2 linked regions of the Anolis sagrei genome follow. The protein of the gene in region 2 interacts with the protein of the main gene of each other region in a biochemical or structural test. Links are inferred from orthologs where the notes say so. Each region holds a gene or a part of one and is shown on either strand. Other genes may lie near its edges.

The links.
Region 1: of the proteins of CREB1 (region 2) and RPS6KA5, one has a biochemical effect on the other in vitro, tested with the Homo sapiens proteins (3 studies listed by BioGRID, with this or other methods). The link is inferred for Anolis sagrei from reciprocal best matches to the Homo sapiens genes CREB1 and RPS6KA5.

Annotation. Positions count from the first base shown.
Region 1 is NC_090021.1:315,294,999-315,301,391, reverse strand, and holds the start of RPS6KA5 (ribosomal protein S6 kinase alpha-5), read left to right. Parts: upstream 1-2,334; 5' UTR 2,335-2,692; coding exon 2,693-2,765; intron 2,766-6,393. UniProt on the Homo sapiens protein: Serine/threonine-protein kinase that is required for the mitogen or stress-induced phosphorylation of the transcription factors CREB1 and ATF1 and for the regulation of the transcription factors RELA, STAT3 and ETV1/ER81, and that contributes to gene activation by histone phosphorylation and functions in the regulation of inflammatory genes.
Region 2 is NC_090021.1:168,931,670-168,938,062, reverse strand, and holds the start of CREB1 (cyclic AMP-responsive element-binding protein 1), read right to left. Parts: upstream 3,763-6,393; 5' UTR 3,494-3,762; intron 1-3,493.

The sequences.
Region 1 (6,393 bases), about 150 Mb from region 2:
CTGCCTCCGGAAAATCCTGCAAATCTCTTGGGAAGACAGGCAGCGTGCTGGAAGAAGCAAAGACCACCAGCACTGAAGCGATGGTCAACTCCACTGGACCGGCCACGTTGTCCGGATGCCCGACCACCGTCTTCCAAAGCAGTTGCTCTACTTCAAACTCAAGAACGGAAAACGGAATGTTGGAGGACAGGAAAAGAGACTTAAAGATGGGCTCAAAGCCAACCTTAAAAACTCTGGCATAGACACTGAGAACTGGGAAGCGCTGGCCCTTGAGCGCTCCAGCTGGAAGTCAGCTGTGACCAGCAGTGCTGCAGAATTTGAAGAGGCACGAATGGAGGGTGAAAGAGAGAAACGTGCCAAGAGGAAGGCGCGTCAAGCCAACCCCGACCAAGACCGCCTTCCACCTGGAAACCAATCCCCACACTGCGGGAGAAGATGCAGGTCAAGAATAGGTCTCCACAGCCACATACGGACCCACAAGAACACTGGAAGACAATCATCCTCGGAAAACGAGGGATCGCCTAAGTAAAGTTAGTAAGTATGTGTGTGTGTGTGTGTGTGTGTATATATATATATATATACACACACACACACACATACTTACTTATATATATATCTCTCTCTTGTACGGAGCCCCCGGTGGCGCAGTGGGTTAAAGCATTGAGCTGCTGAGCTTGTTGATCAAAAGGTCGCAGGTTAGATTCCGGGGAGCGGCGTGAGCTACCGCTGTCAGCCCTAGCTTCTGCCAACCTAGCAGTTCAAAAACATGCAAATGTGAATAGATCAATAGGTACTGCTCCGGCGGGAAGGTAACGGCGCTCCATGCAGTCATGCTGGCCACATGACCTTGGAGGTGTCTACGGAAAACGCTGGCTCTTCGGCTTAGAAATGGAGATGAGCGCCACACCCGAGTCAGACATGACTGGACTTAATGTCAGGGGACTACCTTTACCTTTTTATATCTTGTAAGCTGCTCTGAGTGAGATGTGCGGCATATAAATGCCGTAATAATGTATGTCCTTCACTCAAAAAAAATATATGATTTTGTCATTTGGCAGTTGTAGTTGCTGGGATTTATAGCTCACCTACAATCACAAGGCATTTTGAACCCCACCAACGATGGAATTGAACCAAACTTGGCACACAGTTCTCCCATGACCAACAGAAAATACTGGAAGGGTTTGGTGGGCAGTGTCCTTTGGTTTTGGAGTTGTAGTTCACCTACATCCAGAGATCACTGTGGACTCAAAACAATGATGGATCTGGACCAAACTCTACATGAATACTCAATATGCCCAAATGTGAACACTGGTGGAGTTTGGGGGAAAATAGAATCTTGACATTTGGGAGTTGTAGTTGCTGGGATTTATAGCTCACCTACAATCACAGACCATTCTGAACCCCACCAACGATAGAATTGGGCCAAACCTGCCACACAGAACTCCCATGTGGGCCACAGCAACGCGTGGCAGGGGACAGCTAGTAAATAGAATCATAGAATCAAAGAGTTGGAAGAGACCTCATGGGCCATCCAGTCCAGCCCCCTGCCAAGAAGCAGGAATATTGCATTCAAATCACCCCTGACAGATGGCCATCCAGCCTCTGTTTAAAAGCTTCCAAAGAAGGAGCCTCCACCACACTCCGGGGCAGAGAGTTCCACTGCTGAACGGCTCTCACAGTCAGGAAATTCTTCCTAATGTTCAGATGGAATCTCCTCTCTTGTAGTTTGAAGCCATCGTTTCGCGTCCTAGTCTCCAGAGAAGCAAAAAACAAGCTTGCTCCCTCCTCCCTGTGGCTTCCTCTCACATATTTATACATGGCTATCATATCCCCTCTCAGCTTTCTCTTCTTCAGGCTAAACATATATAAATGTGTCCTTGTCCTTACTCTTACTGGACACCGAATAAACGTGAGGCGTCGCCTGGGTCCTTTTGGTGAAGCCACTCACCGCCCGTTCTCCTTCTCTGGGCCTTTTAATGCCTTTAGCTCCACCCTCAGGGGGCGGGGTTGCATAATATTGACTCTTTCCTGAGGGAAAGAAAGAGGACGGCCGGGAAAAGGGCGCGAAGAGGCAGCAGCGCCCAAGAGACTGAAGGAAGGAGAAGGCGAAGGAAACCAAGGAAGGCAGAAAGAGAGGGAGGGAGGGAGGGAGGGAGGAAGTCAGTAGCGCGAGCCATTGATTGGCGCAAGGGCCGGGCCAATGGCCTCGCTCTGTTCGTGGCGGCTCGAGCCGGGAGGCGGGGTCGGTCGCGCGGCAACGTCCCCCGACCAATCGCCGCCCTGGTGTGTAGCCTCGCGAGCCAATGACCGTTGGGCTCCCCCCCTCCCCTTCTCCCCCCCCTCATTGCTTCAGTCAGGAGGAAGGAATAGCTATCTCCAGGGCTGTTCTGCTTTTTTTCTGTTTTGATCCCTCTCTCTCTCTCTCTCTCTCTCCCTTCTAGGGATGGGGTGAATCTAAGGGATTGGCGTCTCTACGAGGAAATGATCCACATTCATTGCGCGCCTGGTTGTCATTTCTTTTAATATGATTTATTCTTCGTTTTCTTGACATCCAACATGGAAGACGTTTCTTAGAAGCTCCTTTTGAGCTGGATGTGGGGCGAAGTGACCTCTTGTACCTCAGCGCCTCCCTAGTATTGAAGACAAGTGGAGTATTATTATTATTATTATTATTATTGTATCCTGTGAGGAAATGGAAGGACCTTCGGCGCCACAAGAACAAGGAGACTGGTCCCTTTTCACCGTCAAGCATGAGCTGAGGAACGGTAAGAAGGAAAGGAGGAAAATCCCATATTATTTGCTTTGAACTGGGATATAGGGCAGTGTGGACTTCCACACAGCCTTATATCCCAGAATATCAAGGTAGAAAACCTCACATCTGCTTTGAACTGGAATATTTGGTAGTGTGGACTTAGGGCCCTTCCACACATCCCTATATCCCAGAATATCAAGGCAGAAAACCTCACATCTGCTTTGAACTGGAATATTTGGCACTGTGGACACAGATAACCCACTTCAAAGCAGATATTGTGGAATTTCCTGCCTTGATATGCTGGGATATAGGGCTGTGTGGAAGGGCCTTGGGTTATCTAAGGCTCCTTCCACACAACTGAATAAAATCCCATATTATCTGCTTTGAACTGGGATATAGGGCAGTGTGGACTTACGGCCCTTCCAAACAGCCCTATATTCCAGAATATCAAGGCAGAAAACCTCACATCTGCTTTGAACTGGAATATATGGCAGTGTGGACACAGATAACCCACTTCAAAGCAGATTTTGTGGGATTTCCTGCCATGATATTCTGGGATATAGGGCTGTGTGGAAGGGCCTTGGGTTATCTAAGGCTCCTTCCACAGAGCTGAATAAAATCCCACATTATCTGCTTTGAACTGGAATATATGGCAGTGTAGATTTAAAATAACCCGGTTCAAAGCAGATTTTGTGGGATTTTCTGGCTTGATATTCTGGGGTCCCTTCCACACAGCCCTACATTGCAGATTATCTGCTTTGAATTGGGCTATCTGTGTCCACACTGCCAAATATTCCAGTTCAAAGCAGATAATGTGAGGTTTTCTGCCTTGATATTCTGGGATATAGGGCTGTGTGGAAGGGCCCTAAGTCCACACTGCCATATATCCCAGTTCAAATCAGATAATGTAAGGTTATTCAGCTGTGTGAAAAGGGCCTCAGATAACCCAAGGCTCTTCCACACAGCCCTATATCCCAGAATATCAAGGCAGAAAATCCTGCATTATCTGTTTGAACTGGAATATATGGCAGTGTGGACTCAGATAACCCAGTTGAAAGCAGATATTGTGGGATTTTCAGCCTTGATATTCTTGAATATAGGGATGTGTGGAAGAGCCCCCAGTTCAATGCAGATATTGTGGGATTTTCTGCTTTGATATTCTGTGTGGAAGGGCCCTGGGAAAGAAAGGGAGAAATCCCGCCACAAAATAAAGGGGTGGGAGGCTTATGGAGCAGGTTCATCAAAGTCTGAATCCTATGAGAGTTTTTGTTAAGAATGCATTTCTCTGTGTTTTCACTTGTATTCCTTTTTCTAATTTATCCTGAGTCTCTGTAGGAAAGGTGGGAGATGTGTCAGAACAACATGACTTACAGAGTTACAGAGTTGGAAGAGACTCCCAAGGGTCATCCAGTCCAACCCCTTTGTGCCATGCAGGAAAATGTTAATAATAATAACTTTAATGAATAATAATAAAAAAAAACCTTATTTGCATCCTGCCCCCATCTCCCAAAAAAGGACTCGGTGTGGTTTACAGTATAAACATCAACAGTAAAAAAGTAAAGGTTTTCCCCTGATGTTAAGCCTGGTCATGTCCGACTCTGGGGGGTGGTGCTCATCTCCATTTCTAAGCCAAAGAGCCAGTGTTATCCATAGACACCTCCAAGGTCATGTGTCCAGCATGACTGCATAGACTGCCATTCTCTTCCTGTAGAAGCGGTACCTATTGATCTACTCACATTTGCATGTTTTTGAACTGCTAGTTTGGCAGAAGTGCTAGTTTGGCAGCAGGAGCTCACCCCGCTCCCCGGATTTGAACCATTGACCTTTTGGTCAGCAAGTTCAGCAACTCAGTGGTTTAATCCGCTGTGCCATCAAGGGGCCCTAACATCAACAGTACAGGAGTATAAAATAGTATCACATAAGAGTTATAAGCAACCACTATCAACACATAAATAAGATAAAACAGACAATTTAAAACCACTTACCATCAATGGTTAAAACTAGCTGCCATCAATATTCAACTAAAGTGCCAAAGTGTCAGCCTAATACAGGCCCATTTCAACCTACTTGAGGCCAAAGGCCTGCTTAAAAATCCATTTTATTAGGCTAGAACAGAAGGATAACTTTGTATCCTGCCTCATCTCCCCAAAGGGACTCGGGACAGCTTACAAAACAGCAACAATGCAAAACAGAACAATATAGGATGTACAGAAGTCAAAATAAAAAATAAATACCAAATAAAATAAAATAACAACATACAGGATTAACATAGAACGCCTCAATCAAAATAAAATAAACAATAAAACACAACAATAACTTGTAATTAAACCAAACTATACAAACCACTTGAACGTTCCAGCCACAAAATGGATTAAAAATCTCAGCATCAGGGTATGCATGCAGTTCATTGTATTTAGTACTACAAATTTTAGATGATCCATTAGACATTAGAAACACAATCAAAGCACCCCTGACAGATAGCCATCCAGTGTCAGTTTACAAAATCCAGAGGAAGGGACTCCCGTCACACTGTATCGCAAAGGCATGGGCAAACATCGGCTCTCTGGGTGTTTTGGACTTCAGCTTCCACAATTCCTAACAGCCATAGGCTGTTAGAGATTGTGGGAGTTGAAGTCCAAAACACCCAAAGGGCCAAAGTTTTCCCATGCCTGCTATAGCAGTTCATTTCAGCCCTTACCATCAATACCTTCTGCTATTCAAGTGGAGTTTCCTTTCCTGAAGATCCTTGCTATGTGGGTTCACACCATCAAAGTACTCTCGACAGACAGCAATCCAGTGTTATCCCCAATCTCATGTGATAAAATGTTATACTTCCTTATTTATCCTCTTGCACTGTATGTGGTAAGAAGAGTAGTGAGTGGATTATGAAAGAACTCCATAGTGTTCTGCTCCTCCTCTGCAGTTAGTATTACATCCTTGAAGGGCAGTCCAGTGCTTCATGGAAAGCACCTACTAACCTCCATAGGAGATGAACTGATGCTTTTCTCAGTGTCTTTTACAAATATAAAACACAGATCAGGTGCTTAGTATAATAGAATAATAGAATTAAAAGAGCCCCCTCCCCCCACCCCCCGCCGGGCCATCGAGTCCAAATCTATCCAGCCATGCAGGAAAACATGATCAAAACACAGATGGCCACATCCAGCCTCTGTTTAAACCACACACCCCAAGCCCCTGAGAAGAGGGTACTGTACTGCCAAACAGCTCTTACCATTAGGAAGTTCTTCCTAATGTTTAGGTGAAATCTTTTTCTTCTATTTGAATCCATTGTTTTGTGGCCTCATCTCCAGAGCAGCAGAAAACAAGCTTGCCTCTTTCTTAATGTGACATCTTTCAAATATTTAAACAAGGCTCTCATGTCCCCTCTCAGCCTCTCCTCCAAGCTAAATATACCAGCTTCCTAAGCCACTCCTCATAGAGCTTGACTTCCAAACTTGTCGATATCTTTCTTGAATTGCAATATCCATATACAATGCAATATATTAGTGTACCTCCCCTGCTCCCCCAAGTGAGGAATGTGGATAAAAATTGCCCAGGGAACTGAAGAAGACAGAAAAAATTCAAAGTGCTGGCTTTAGCCTATAAAGCCCTAAACGGTTCTGGACCAGCCTACCTATCCG
Region 2 (6,393 bases):
TATACGGCCTTCCAAGGTCATTTACCCGGCCCTCGCTCAGGGTTAACCTAAGTCTGAAATGACTTGAAAGCACACAACCACAACAATTCTATCTCATCAGCCAAAAGCAGGCCCACACTTCCCATTTAAATACTAATAAGTTTATATCTGTTAAAATTGTTCTTCATTTTAATTATTGTAATGTTTTAAAGTGTTATTTGCACTACAAATAGGATATGTGCAGTGTGCATAGGAATTCGTTCATGTTTTTTTCAAATTATAATCCGGCCCTCCAACAGTTTGAGGGACTGTAACCTGGCCCTCTGTTTACAAAGTTTGAGGACCCCTGCATTAAAGCATATTAGGGAAAACAATCAAGATCAATGTTTGGCTGAAAACTAGGACTTCAGGAGATGCAAACTTTAAAGGAGTCTTAGATTGAGAGTACTAACTATATGGTGAAATTCACTTTTCGATGATGGCCAAATAGGTTGTCTAAAACAGTAAGTAAATGAACTGTGTTGTAAGCATGGTAAAACCTCCCTTATGTTGTTATGAAGTGTGTATTAATCAGCACCAAGTAACTTACTTGAAACTTAATATACTGGGATACTGTTGCTAAAATTAGCCCTTTACTTTGTATCCTATTTTGCAACATAAAAATTATTAAAACATCCAATGTAGCTAAAAATCCAGGTTTTTGTTTTACAATGACTGAAATCCCAACCCTAGCTAAAAAACAGAGTGAGGTTAAGACAGTAGTTCTCAACCTGTAGGTCCCCAGGTGTTTTGGCCTACAACTCCCAGAAATCCCAGCCACTTTACCAGCTGTAAGGATTTCTGGGAGTTGAAGGCCAAAACATCTGGGAACCCACAGGTTGAGAACCACTGGGTTAAGAGGAAGTGGAAAACTCCTTGAGTGGTAGAGTAGCTCCTCCAGCCCAAAGAGGCCTGCGAGCATAAAACGTCCTTGGTAGATTCTAAAACAGGCATGGGCAGACTTTGGCCCTCCAAGAGTCTTGGACTTCAACTCCCACAATACCTGGCTGTTAGGAATTGTGCAAGTTGAAGTCCAAAACACATGGAGGACCAAAGTATGGCCATGCCTGTTCTAAAACATGACTTTTGGGTGAGGGAAAAGACATTCTCTCACAGGCTTGGACCTACACAAGATTTGAACAGATACTTCATCACACTAAAGCAGGGATCCTCAACTAAGGCCCGGGGGCCAGATGAGGCCCTCGCTTAGGGTCAACTTAAGTCTGAAACGACTTGAAAGAACAAAACAATAACAACAATCCTAGCTCATCAGCCAAAAATAGGCCCACACTTCCCATTGAAATACTAATAAGTTTACATTTGCTAAATTGTTCTTCATTTTAATTATTGTATTGTTTTTTAAGTGGATTTTGCACTACAAATAAGATATGTGCAGTGTGCATAGGAATTCATTCATGTTTTTTTTTTCAAATTATAATCCGGCCCTCCAACTGTTTGAGGGACTGTGACCTGGCCCTTTGTTTAAAAAGTTTGAGGACCCCTGCACTAGAGAATAAATCCATTTAAAATCCAGTTTCTGCCTCCTGCAGACCTCTGGGGTTTAGTGAGGCTGTTAAATACTAAATTTCATCCTAATAACTTCAGAAATAGGGAAATGTACATGAAAATATTTCCTATAAAATGGAAATAACATATTTTATTTGCCTTGGTTAGAGAGGGAAGAAACAGGGCATGGGAAGTAGGAAAGTTAATTCAAAACGACTCCACTCATAACTGAAGCTAAACTTATATATGTGTTAACTTTTCTTGCCTGCACTCTTCCTAGCCCCCCTAATTTAGTACATTGTTTTAAGTTATCTCCCTTACAGGCCCGTAGCCAGGATTTCGATTTTGGGGGGGGGGGGGGGGGGGGCTGAGTCTGAGTGAAAGAGGGTCTACCCTAGCAAAGCTTTTGTATCGTTACCCCAATACCCCCATGCATATGGGATATATTGAGTATGGTGATCAGATCATGATATGAATAAACATAACAGTTTAAATAATGAACCAGTAAGGCCTTCTCGCGAACCACCATGAGAATTTGGGGGGGGGGGGGGGGCTGAAGCCCCTAAAGTCCCCCCCCCCCCACTACATGTCTGCTCCCTTATATTACTTTACTGAGTGCCATGTAAACTGAACTGAGGTGAATAGATTCTACAAATAAAACAAAAGTGTCAGTAATACTAGCAGTGCCTCATTTAATACAACTTTTCGCCTAAGCACAACCCCTCAAAGTACAGATCAAAGGGGGGAGGGATAAAAACCAGAGCAGTGAGGATTAAGTTTGAAACAAATACAACCATTTCCAGCACCAGAGCTTTCATCATAACCACACAGAACTGTGAGGAAAACAAGATGTTCAAGAATAGTGTAGATCCAAAATTATTTTTATTTCAAAAGGAACTTTCGGAGGTTTTTCAAATTGGAGCCATGTTTTTTTAAAACTGTTTTGCTGGTACAGTGGACGGGGACTCCTGCCAAATGGATGCTTTGACTATGAAAAGAGGAACCTCTGGACCCGTGGGACAGAATCGAGGGTCTGCTCCAAGCACAGCAGAAGCGAGTATTGGGAGTTTTGTTTCTCATGTCAGGAGCAACTTGAGAAACTGCAAGTCGCTTCTGGTGTGAGAGAATGTGCTGTCTGCAAGGCCGCCTGGACGTTTTGCCACCCTTGTGAGAGGCTTCTCTGATGACCCCACATAGTGATGATCACCCCCTTTCCCTTTCCTCCTAGGACTCCGTGTGTAAGGCTGCCAGGGAAGTCCCTGCTCAGCATTGGGCGGGAAAAGAGAAGAGAGGGCTGGGGTGGGGCATCTAACTTCTGGCTTGGAGAAGAGTGAGGCATGTGTGTGTGTTGGATCCACTAGATCCATATTACTGCCCTAAAGAAGGGGGGGGCACCTTATGGAGAAAAAGGATCGGCGGATTCCCCCCCCCCCCCTTCTTAAGAGGTTGCTTATACCTCTGAAGCGTGTGTTTATGACCAATTTATGTTACAAACTGCGTGATGAGAGAGGGACAGAGGGAAGACCCTCGCGGGAAGGCCCTCTCCCTCTCCCAAGGGCGCCGTGGCCTAGTTTCTTCCCCCCGCTTGGCCGCCGCCATCCTCCTCCTCGGTCCGCCCGCCCGCCAGGCTTGGCTCGCCTCGTCTCTGCCTGGCCCGGCCGCTTCCATCCGCCATTACTCTTTGTTCCTCCTCCAGCAGCAGCGCCGGGCCAGGGCAGGAGGAAGGAGAGGCTCCATTTTAAAAATTAAAACCGCCACAGAACTGAGGGGAAGGGAGGGGAAGAGCGCGTTAGGCCGAAGCTTGGCTCTCTCTCTCTTTGCCTCCTTCCTTCCCTCAACGGCCGCCGCCCCTCCCTGTTTTCCTCCTCCTTCCTCTCTCTCTCTCTGGTCGGCCTTTGTCTCCTCGGCCTGCCTTTCTTTCTTTCCTTCCTTCCTGCGTGCTCGCTGGGCTTTCTCCTTCTCCTCTTACCGGCCAGAGGCTGCTCCGTCACTGCTTTCGTTCGCGCCGAGGCTCTCGCCGCAGTTTTATTCTCTCCCCCACGTAACACACCGCGTCAAACTACACCTCCGCCGCGTCACTCACAGGACACACACACCACGCGCCCGCTCGCTCGCTCGCTCGCTCCGGCTCTCCCAGCGCCGGCGACAGCAAGGCCAGGCAGCCAAGGCAAGGCAAGGCAGGCAGGCAGGCAAGCAGAGCGGCCGACGGAGGGGAAGGCAAGGGAGGGGGGGAGAAGAGGAGGAGGAGGCCAGGGAGGGAGGGAGGGAGGGAGGGAGCAAGCGCCGCCGCCGCCGAGCATGCCTTCGCTCTCCTCCCCCTCCCTTCCCTTCTGCCTCGCGCGCTCCCCCCTCCCTACTCTACTGCCTAGCGCACTCTCCCCCCTCCCTCTTGCCTCGCGCTCCTTCCCCCCCTTCTCTTCTGCCTCGCGCGCTCCCCCTCCCTCGCGCTCTTCTCTCCCCCCTCCCTACTCTTCTGCCTCGCGTGCTCTCCCCCCTCCCTCTTGCCTCGCGCTCCATTTCCCCCCTCCCTTCTCTTCTGTCTCGCGAACCTTCCCCCTCCCTTCTGCCTCGCGCTCGCTGTCTCCCCTCCCTTGTCTTCTACCCTGCGCTCTCTCTCCCCATTACTCCATTCCTGTCCCGCCATTCCCCCCCCCCCCTTCTCTTCTGCCTCGCGCGCGCTTTCCCCCCTTCTCTTCTGCCTCGCGCTCTCTCCCAGGCCTGGATCCAGAGGAGGGGGAGGGGGTTTAAGGCAGGGGTCCTCAAACTTTTTAAACAGAGGGCCAGGTTAGGTAAAGGTAAAGGTAAAGGTAGTCCCCTGACAATAAGTCCAGTCATGTCTGACTCTGGGATGTGGTGCTCATCTCCATTTCTAAGCTGAAGAGCCAGCGTTGTCCGTAGACACCTCCAAGGTCATGTGGCCGGCATGACCGCATGGACCGCCGTTACCTTCCCGCCGGAGCGGTACCTATTGATCTACTCACATTTGCATGTTTTCGAACTGCTAGGTTGGCAGAAGCTAGGGCTGACAGCGGAATTGAACCTGTGACCTTTCAATCAACAAGCTCAGCAGCTCAGTGCTTTAACCCACTGGGCCAGGTTACATTCCCTCAAACTGTTGGAGGGCCAGATTATAATTTGAAAAAAAAAATGAACCAATTCCTATAGACACTGCATATATCTTATTTGTAGTGCAAAAAACCTCCAGCAAAGGATCACCGCCTTGTCGGGGCGCTGGAGCTTGAGCACCTCAATGATGTCATGAGCGAAACCGTGAAGGGACACCCAAGACGGGACGGTTGTGGCAGAGAGGTCAGACCAAGCGTGATCCCTGGGGAAGGCAATGGCAAACCACTCCAGTATCCTTGCCAAGAAAACTAAATGGACCAGTACAACCAGAGATATGTCGGTATGCCATTGGAAGATGGGACTCCCAGGTCGGAAGATGGCCAAAATGCTACTGGGGAGGAGCAGAGGATAAGTTCAACTAGCCCCAGATGTGATGACGCAGCTAGCTCAAAGCCGAAAGGAAGGCTAGCGGCCGACGGTACTGGAGGTGAACGACGAATCCGATGCTCTAAAGATCAACACACCATAGGAACCTGGAATGTAAGATCTATGAGCCAGGGCAAATTGGATGTTGTTATAGTTTTGACGGTGTGGTGAATGAATTAGAACCAGACATCCTGAGGAGTGAGGTTGAATGGGCCTTAAGAAGCATTGCTAACAACAAGGCAGCAGGAGACGACGGGATCCCAGCTGAACTGTTTAAAATCTTAAAAGATGATGCTGTCAAGGTGATGCATGCCATTTGCCAGCAAATATGGAAAACACAAGAATGGCCATCAGACTGGAAAAAATCAACTTATATCCCCATACCAAAAAAGGGAAATGCGAAAGACTGCTCAAACTTCCGTACAGTGGCCCTTATTTCTCATGCCAGTAAGGTAATGCTCAAGATTCTGCAAGGAAGACTCCAGCAATACATGGAGCGAGAGTTGCCAGATGTTCAAGCTGGGTTTAGAAAAGGCAGAGGAACGAGAGACCAGATTGCCAATATCCGCTGGATAATGGAGAAAGGCAGGGAGTTTCAGAAAAACATCTACTTCTGCTTCATTGACTATTCTAAAGCCTTTGACTGTGTGGATCATAATAAACTGTGGCAAGTTCTTAGTGGGATGGGCATCCCAAGCCACCTTGTCTCTCTCCTGAGGAATCTGTACAAGGACCAAGTAGCAACAGTAAGAACTGACCACGGAACAACAGACTGGTTCAAGATTGGGAAAGGCGTACGGCAAGGCTGCATCCTCTCACCCAACCTTTTTAACTTGTATGCAGAACACATCATGCGATGTGCGGGGCTGGATGAATGCAAAGCTGGGGTGAAAATTGCTAGAAGAAACATTAACAACCTCAGATATGCAGATGACACCACTCTGATGGCCGAAAGCGAGGAGGAGCTGAGGAGCCTCCTAATCAAGGTGAAAGAAGAAAGCGCAAAAGCCGGGTTGCAGCTAAACGTCAAAAAAACCAAGATTATGGCAACAAGAATGATTGACAACTGGAAAATAGAGGGAGAAACCGTGGAGGCCGTGACAGACTTTGTATTTCTAGGTGCAAAGATTACTGCAGATGCAGACTGTGGCCAGGAAATCAGAAGACGCTTACTTCTTGGGAGGAGAGCAATGTCCAGTCTCGATAAAATAGTAAAGAGTAGAGACATCAGACTGGCAACAAAGATCCGCCTAGTCAAAGCCATGGTATTCCCTGTAGTAACCTATGGATGTGAGAGCTGGACCTTAGGGAAGGCTGAGCGAAGGAAGATCGATGCTTTTGAGCTGTGGTGCTGGAGGAAAGTGCTGAGAGTGCCTT